Arabidopsis thaliana: one gene and its partner. The protein of the gene in region 2 purifies or fractionates together with the protein of the main gene of each other region. This does not show direct contact. Each region holds a gene or a part of one and is shown on either strand. Other genes may lie near its edges. The genes, in order: AT3G60245 and AT1G26880.

Region 1 (3,791 bases), on a different chromosome or scaffold from region 2:
ATTACCTTGGGTCCGCAAGGTGGTCTTGGTCAGGGAATGTCTATTAGAAGGCCTGCAGTAGCATCAAACACTTATCAGTCTGATGCTACTCAGGCCGGTGGTGGAGATTCTAGGCGACCGGCCGGTGGTTTGAATGGTTTTGGCTCACATAGACCTGCAAGTCCTGTTACTCACGGACGGTCAAGTCCTCAAGAGCGGGGAACAGCTTATGTTCATAGGGAATTTGCAAGTCTGTCGCGTGCTTCTGATCTGTCACCAGAAGTTTCGTCCGCTAGGCAAGTACTACAAGGGCCATCAGCTACAGTAAACAGTCCTCGAGAAAATGCTTTGTCTGAAGAACAGTTAGAGAATCTGTCATTGTCCGCAATTAAGGAATATTACAGGTACTATATCTCTCCTTTCTTGCTGGTCATTTGTTTCATTCTTCGCAAAGTCATCAGATACTGCCACATTTAGGAAATTATTCTGTGGGAACCTGTGTAGGTATAATTGGATCAAATTACAGTTCATTCGTTTACAGTTAGAGCGTTTGTTTACAACGACAGATCATCTGATAAAGTGTATATTTCTTGAAGTATGTAAATTAGAATTTGCTCCAAACAAAACGGCTTAAAAATACATATGAGAGACTTTGTTCTTTGACTTTAATAGAATCTCTAATACAGGGGTAAACTCTGTTTTTTTTACTGACTGTGCGTTTTATGTATGATGTTAGTTTCTATTCGTTTACCCTCTTTATTATTGATAAGCACTCTGGTGCGTTCCAATGTGTTCTTGTGCAGTGCCCGAGATGAGAATGAGATTGGTATGTGCATGAAAGATATGAATTCACCAGCTTACCACCCAACAATGATTTCTCTCTGGGTAACTGATTCGTTTGAGAGAAAAGACAAAGAAAGGGATCTCTTAGCAAAGCTCCTTGTGAACCTCGTGAAATCTGCTGACAACGCCTTAAACGAAGTCCAGCTAGTGAAAGGGTAAGTAAACAAAGCCCATAAATCTTGAAGCCCTAGTCTAATCAAACGTCTGTTGCTTAAATCTTTTACTGCTTTTTTTTTCACAGGTTTGAATCGGTTTTGAAAACCCTGGAGGATGCAGTAAATGATGCTCCAAAAGCAGCAGAGTTTCTTGGTAGAATATTTGGGAAAAGTGTGACAGAGAAAGTAGTGACATTGACAGAGATTGGTCGGTTAATCCAGGAAGGAGGAGAAGAACCAGGAAGTCTGATAGAGTTTGGATTAGGCGGCGATGTTCTTGGGAGTGTTTTGGAGATGATAAAAACAGAAGCTGGAGAAGAAACGTTGGTTGAGATTCGCCGGAGCTCAGGTCTGAGGATTGAAAATTTCAAACCTCATGCACCTAACCGGTCTAAGATATTAGAGAAATTTACTTAGGAAAAAAAAATGGAACCATCTTTTGGGTTCCTTTCTTCTTCTCTTTTTTTGTTTCTCTCTTAAAAGTCTTTTCTCTTTTCAAGTGCTTCAAACAAAACTAATTTGTTATAAAGGGAGTTTCTCTATTTTATTATATAGCAAAAAACTTCCAAAATTTCTCATTTCTGTGTTTAACCTTTTCGTACATCAGTTTTAAAGCACAGAGAGCTCAATGTTCTTCCAATATCGTTATTAATAAATTTTGATTAAATTCAATCAAATCGGAGTTATATTACCACATGAGGTTAAAGGGCCATATTAAAAAGTCTGCACTTCATATGAGCAACAAGGCTTTTATGTCTTTATGGTTGATTTGATGGCCCATATATGATAGTTCAAAGGCCCATATTAAAAAATGCCCTAACATGATTCGATTCGTATATAAAGACGCTTAATGTGACAAGCGAACTTGCTCATTAGGGTTTCTCATCTACGACGGCGTGGTGTTCCTCCTTCCTGCTCTGAAAAATGGTGAAAAACCTAATCCTTTCTTTTTGTTATTGTTCTTGAATCTCTGTAATTCCATAGCAAGTTATTCGAGTATACTTCCTTCTGTCTCGTTCTAGCTTTCGTTTTGAGATTTCAAGTTTCATAGTTGATCTGTGGATTCTGATAGAAGTCTAGTTTTGTGATTTTGTCTTTTGACTCTATTACTCTTTTTCGATGTTTCACAGGCGAAGAGAACGAAGAAGGTTGGAATCGTCGGCAAATACGGTAATGTTCCTGACTCATCTCTTATTGAATCGCTTAGGATGTTAATGCTATCGAAAATAAGGATAGGATCTGCAAATTTGCTTAGTCTTGTAGCTCATTTTAATGGAGTATATTAACATGTATCGTTCATTTTTGATTACATGTTGTCAATATGTAATGGATCTGTCTACACTGGTTTCATATTGCAATTCGTTCTTCATTTTGGGGTCTAAGTTGGTTATTATATGTATTGTGAGTTCTCTTCCTAACGTATGTATGGTTATGTGATTCAGGAACACGTTATGGTGCGAGTATCAGGAAGCAGATTAAGAAGATGGAGGTCAGCCAGCACAGCAAGTACTTCTGTGAGTTCTGTGGCAAGGTATGAAAGAGATTAACATTCAGTTACTGTTTTCATTTCTAAATCTCTTTTGGTTTTGGATTATTGTGGTAACTGTGGTTTGATCAAAATGATTGCAGTACGGAGTGAAGCGAAAGGCTGTTGGTATCTGGGGTTGCAAGGATTGTGGCAAGGTCAAGGCAGGTGGTGCTTACACAATGAAGTAAGTGATTTCTGAGTTATATTTGTATTAGCTTTGTGTTGGTTATCAATCAATGATTTGTTTTCTGATGAAATTGTTTTCGTTTGTGAATTGCAGCACCGCCAGTGCGGTCACTGTTAGAAGCACGATCAGAAGGTTGAGGGAGCAGATCGAGGGTTAAAAGTCTGCTGGCTTTTTATATTTGGTTTCCTTGTTTTGACAATTTAAGTTTTGCAAACTCTATGCTTGTGATTTTGAATCAAGACTTATACATTGAGCAGTTTAAGCAGGTTTTTATTTTTTGTTGAGTTAATTTTCAAAGTTTCATTACCAATAGTTCTAGCTATATAACCTAAAGTTAGGCTTGAGGTTTTGAATGTTTGATCCTATTCAACACCTAATTATAAATCCTTGAATCCTGATCTAATGTGATGTTTCTTATACTTTATTTTGATCAGCACTTCTTTAACCCTATAACTTGGTAACAGTATTCGCACGAGTCTTTACAGATCAAAATTTTTAGAGTTTGATGTGTGTTTTCAAAGTGCTTTACTAGAAATCCTTACGATAATACAATCTATAACTGAGTGTACTAAGTTTAATTACACAAAAGTCGGTGAATAAACAAATACTAACGTTACTGGTTTTTATGTCTGGCAATGATCTCTTATAAAATCTATATATTGACTTGTTTATATGCTTTTGTGTCGTAATCATCCTAAGATATTGGTCCCTTGAGTGTATTTTAATGGCCATACATGTCTCATTATGATCTTTGATGAAATTGATTGATCTAAGTTATACTTCAGTTGAAATTTATGAGTTTTACATGAAATTAGAAAAACGAATAATAATCCAACAGTTCAAAACAAAATCCAACTAACTGGGGAAAATCTTTTCGGAGACAACAACAAGACCCAAGTGTGTCGTTCTTTTCCCCCAATGAGCCAGGCTGTTGCACTTCTAAGTTTTCTTGGAACTTCATGAGATTCTTTCAAGATTCCATCTTTCAACTTCAGCTCTCATCCTCTAACCCAATGGTTGATGTATGCTCCAGTCACCGCAGCTATCGTTTCAGTTGCTCATCCGGATGCAATTACAGAGCCACTAAATGTATCACCAT
Region 2 (3,936 bases):
GTATCAAGAGACGGGATTCGAAGGAAATGGTATAATGAAGAACATGCGTGGTTCCAATGAAGATCATCTTGGTGATCATTGCGACACACTTCGGTTTGATGATTTCACTTCAACAATTAATGAGAACCATCGTCATCATCAAGACCTGAAACAGAACATGACATTGCTGGAGAGTTATTATTCTTCTTTATCGTCCATCAATAGCGATTTGCCAGCTTGTTTCTCCAGTACAACCTGATGTATGTGGATAGATTTTCCCATCTCTGCCTTCTTGGCTTGCTTTTTTCAAGCTAGGGTATTTCCTCTTTGTAGGCTTTCTCTTTCACTAAATTAAATCGTTTATTAATTATGCTTCCTTGAGTTTTTATTTTTCACAAGCAACTTTGCTTTAATGAAGAAGGCATGAGGTAAGTCAAGATGAACAAGAGAAAAACTGAATCGAGTTTTACTATATTCAAAATAAAGACCAGTAAGTATATTATTTCTGGAGCTGACTTCATTAATCGCATACGAGACTGTCGTTGTAGAATTCCCAAAAATTGAAGCATAGTTAAGATTTAAGACTCAAAATTGCTATTCCATAGTTGTGTCATGACGCTGAGAACATTAAAGTGCAAGCTTGATTTAGCCTCCGAGAGATTCAGAAATATTATATTAACCAAGAAGGTAATCACAACAGCTTATGTGATATGCATCAACAATAGAACATTAAAGATGAATTCAACAATTCCAAAACTGAAGAGAAGAGAATTGTCGACAAAGTTAAGAACTGATAACAGAATACAAAGCTTAAAAATTGGTCGAGTAACATAGATGTCCTCACATGACTGCACCAAGTCCTATCACTTGAACATAGCCATAATTCCAAAACAGAGAAGAATAAAACATAAAAGCTTAAGCCTTGGGGGCTACTTTCTCCTTAGCCTTTTGGAGTTTCAACACTTTCTTCACAATCTTTTGCTCTTCGACAAGGAATGCCCGAATGATCCTGTCGGAATCCAAAAACAACATTACGTTAAAGAACACCAAATTTATTGTAATAGAAAGATGACTCAAGTAAGATGGACAACAAACCTTTCCCTGACTGCAGAACCAGACAAGACTCCACCGTATGCTCGGTTTACAGTCCTCCTGTTTCTTGATAATCTTGACCTCTTGTACTCAGAGGGCCTCAAGTGAGGGATCTGAATAAACAAACAAAGTTATTCACATAATGCAAAAGGAATATGCCATTGCATAATCAAACATATATAGTTGGGAATAAACTGAAAATTTATGCCAAAGGTGGATAGCAAATCCTTATGTAATACAAGGAACAACTTGAAAGACAAAGTGGCACCGACAATTTAGCTTATGATTTATGTTATGTACTGATGTGGGATTTATCTAATCAGCACAAGACCGTCAATAAGCACAATACTATTAACTAAGTAACATGGTTTCTTGAAATAAGAAGACATGCCCATTAAAAATGAGACTGATCAATACTCAAAACATTCTAAAACACTCAATCTGATTGATTTGGTTATACATAGCCATCAAATTCCTAAAAAATTCAAACTCTTAACTCTATCTAGACCTCAAATCAAGACTCTAGATACAAGAACCATGTAAACCAAATCACACGAAGCCAAATCGAAATCAGAAGACTTACTCCTTGAATACGCTTGCCAGTAACAGGACATTTGGGGCCACTAGCTCTCTTCTTTGTGGTTTGATACACCAATTTACCTCCTGAAATCAACAATCCCAACACACATTACACTATGAAGAACAGATCGGTGATTAGAGAATTATGAGACTAAAGCAGAGGAGATTGAAGATATCAAGGAAGAAGAAGAAGAAGAAGAAAGGGACCTGGAGTCTTGACGATACGGTGCTGGTTCGATTTGGTGGCGTAGCTGTGTCGCGACCGGTAAACAAGACGCTGCACCATTTTCGCCTCCTTTTCTCTTTTAGGGTTTTCGTTTGGAACGAAGAATATAAGGGTGAGACTCCAAACCTAAACTAAGACTACAACTATATGGGCCTTTTCTCATTTTGGTCTTTAATTATGCTCCAGTTAAAGGCCCATGTACAAATAATTAAAAAAAATTCAACTTGTAAAAACCAATTCTATTATTAGCTGCAATTAGAATAAGTATCGTTTGTATGTTGTAGTGAACAGAAACTAGAAACATTATTACCAATTTTTATTTTGATTTTTTAAGAAATCATAGATGCATTAAATTATACGTAGAACTTTAAAAAGATTAATTAGTATTATAATCCGTTTAGTCAAAACACATTCAATTTATTTTATCAAATAGTGTAACAACAAAAAATTTAAATTCATGGCACGTAAAAACATAATCGATACATTTACAAGGGCGTGGTGCAAGCAATTAGAGCAAGCCAAGTAGAGAAATTAATCAAGGTTGGCGGCAAAATTGGGAATTGGAAAATAAATTCATCCAAAATAACAAATGGAAATATAAGGACCAGGCTAGAAAATTTGGATTTTCAACAATTTTGTTTGGTTTGATGATTAGATTTTTAAGGGAAAAAACTAACAATTATGTAAGAATGAGAATCGATTGATATATTTTATGTGTGTCTATATTGCAGTTTTACTTTAAAAATTGGGCAACTTTAATTTAGTTTCTTTTTTTATATGCATTAATAATATATATATATATATATATATATATTTTTTTTTTTTTTTCTTTGAACAAATAATAAATATTTGTATAATAATTGTTTTTTTTTGAAAAAAAGCTTTATAATATAGACTCACTTTTGTGTCACAGCCAGCGACGAGAAAAAAGTTCCATTGGCGTCTAGCTAGGTATCCGGTATCCCACATGGCCACATCTATGGGTTGCTTAAGTTGTTGGTCTTTTTTTTGGGATATTATACACGACGATGAGCATATATCAACTGTTCCAGAAACCGAAAGTTGTCAGATAAACGAAACTAGAATCTGTGCTTTTCCTAACGATTTGCTCTTGCAGATCTTGCATCACGTCCCAACAAAAGAGGCAGTCGCCACTTCAATCTTGTCTAAACGATGGCGTTATGTCTGGCCGATGGTGCCTAGACTCGAATTCAAAGAAGATGACAGCGAGAGCGTGGGGTGGTTTATTGAAAAGTCATTGCAACTCCATAAGGCACCGAAACTAGATAGTTTGGTTGTGGAACTCGGTCCACATTGTCCTGTTGACGTAGATGTCGGAAAGTGGGTTGAGAACGTAGTTAATAGAGGTGTGAAAGAGTTAGATTTCAATCTCCTCTGGACCGCAGAACCCACAGGATTTCCTAAGTGCCTTTACACATGCAACACGCTCGTTGATTTAAGTCTATCCAACAAGATTCTAGTGAACGTTTCTTCCCCTGTTCGCCTACCATCTCTCTTAACTCTGAGTCTTCGCTTTGTGGTGTACAAAGACGAAGAATCTCTTGTTAGCCTTTTATCAAGCTCCCCTGTTCTCAACTGCCTGAAGGTGGATCGACATAAGGATGACAACTTGACAAAATTTACCGTGAAAGTATCTACCTTGAAACAGTTACATTATAATACTACTCGGCGGAAGGATGGGGTAGAGGATGAGGAAGACGTGGTAGAGGAAAATGAGGTAGAGGATGATGATGATGTAGATGAGGTAGAGGATGATGAGGAAGGTGTGGTTGAGGAAGTTGACGTAGGTGAGGTAGAGGAGGATGATGATGATGATCTCAATAGATCCTTGGTAATAGATTCCCCTGCATTAGAAATTTTACGCTTACGTAACGTTTTGGACTATTGCTTGATAGAGAATATTTCTTGCCTTCATATAGCAAAACTCGGCTATGTTCATAACCCCGATCACAAGTTTCTGAGATCTCTTTCTTCTGTCATACATATGTACTTGTATTTGACCAAGCCAATGGTACCGATTACATATCTCCGATCCTCTT

What was found.
Region 1: the proteins of AT1G26880 (region 2) and AT3G60245 fractionate together in Arabidopsis thaliana (co-fractionation; one large-scale study listed by BioGRID). This does not show direct contact.

The regions. Positions count from the first base shown.
Region 1 is NC_003074.8:22,266,902-22,270,692, forward strand, and holds AT3G60245 (Zinc-binding ribosomal protein family protein), read left to right. Parts: upstream 1-1,786; 5' UTR 1,787-1,901; coding exon 1,902-1,904; intron 1,905-2,107; coding exon 2,108-2,147; intron 2,148-2,419; coding exon 2,420-2,508; intron 2,509-2,606; coding exon 2,607-2,689; intron 2,690-2,785; coding exon 2,786-2,849; 3' UTR 2,850-3,127; downstream 3,128-3,791. Other genes in the region: EIF4G (eukaryotic translation initiation factor 4G), read left to right, coding at 1-383, 783-977, 1,064-1,394.
Region 2 is NC_003070.9:9,314,746-9,318,681, forward strand, and holds AT1G26880 (Ribosomal protein L34e superfamily protein), read right to left. Parts: upstream 2,136-3,936; 5' UTR 1,937-2,135; coding exon 1,858-1,936; intron 1,735-1,857; coding exon 1,655-1,734; intron 1,417-1,654; exon of another isoform or gene 1,270-1,416; intron 1,185-1,269; coding exon 1,075-1,184; coding exon of another isoform or gene 1,053-1,074; exon of another isoform or gene 989-1,052; coding exon 895-988; 3' UTR 560-894; downstream 1-559. Other genes in the region: FEZ (NAC (No Apical Meristem) domain transcriptional regulator superfamily protein), read left to right, coding at 1-238; AT1G26890 (FBD, F-box and Leucine Rich Repeat domains containing protein), read left to right, coding at 2,844-3,632, 3,699-3,908.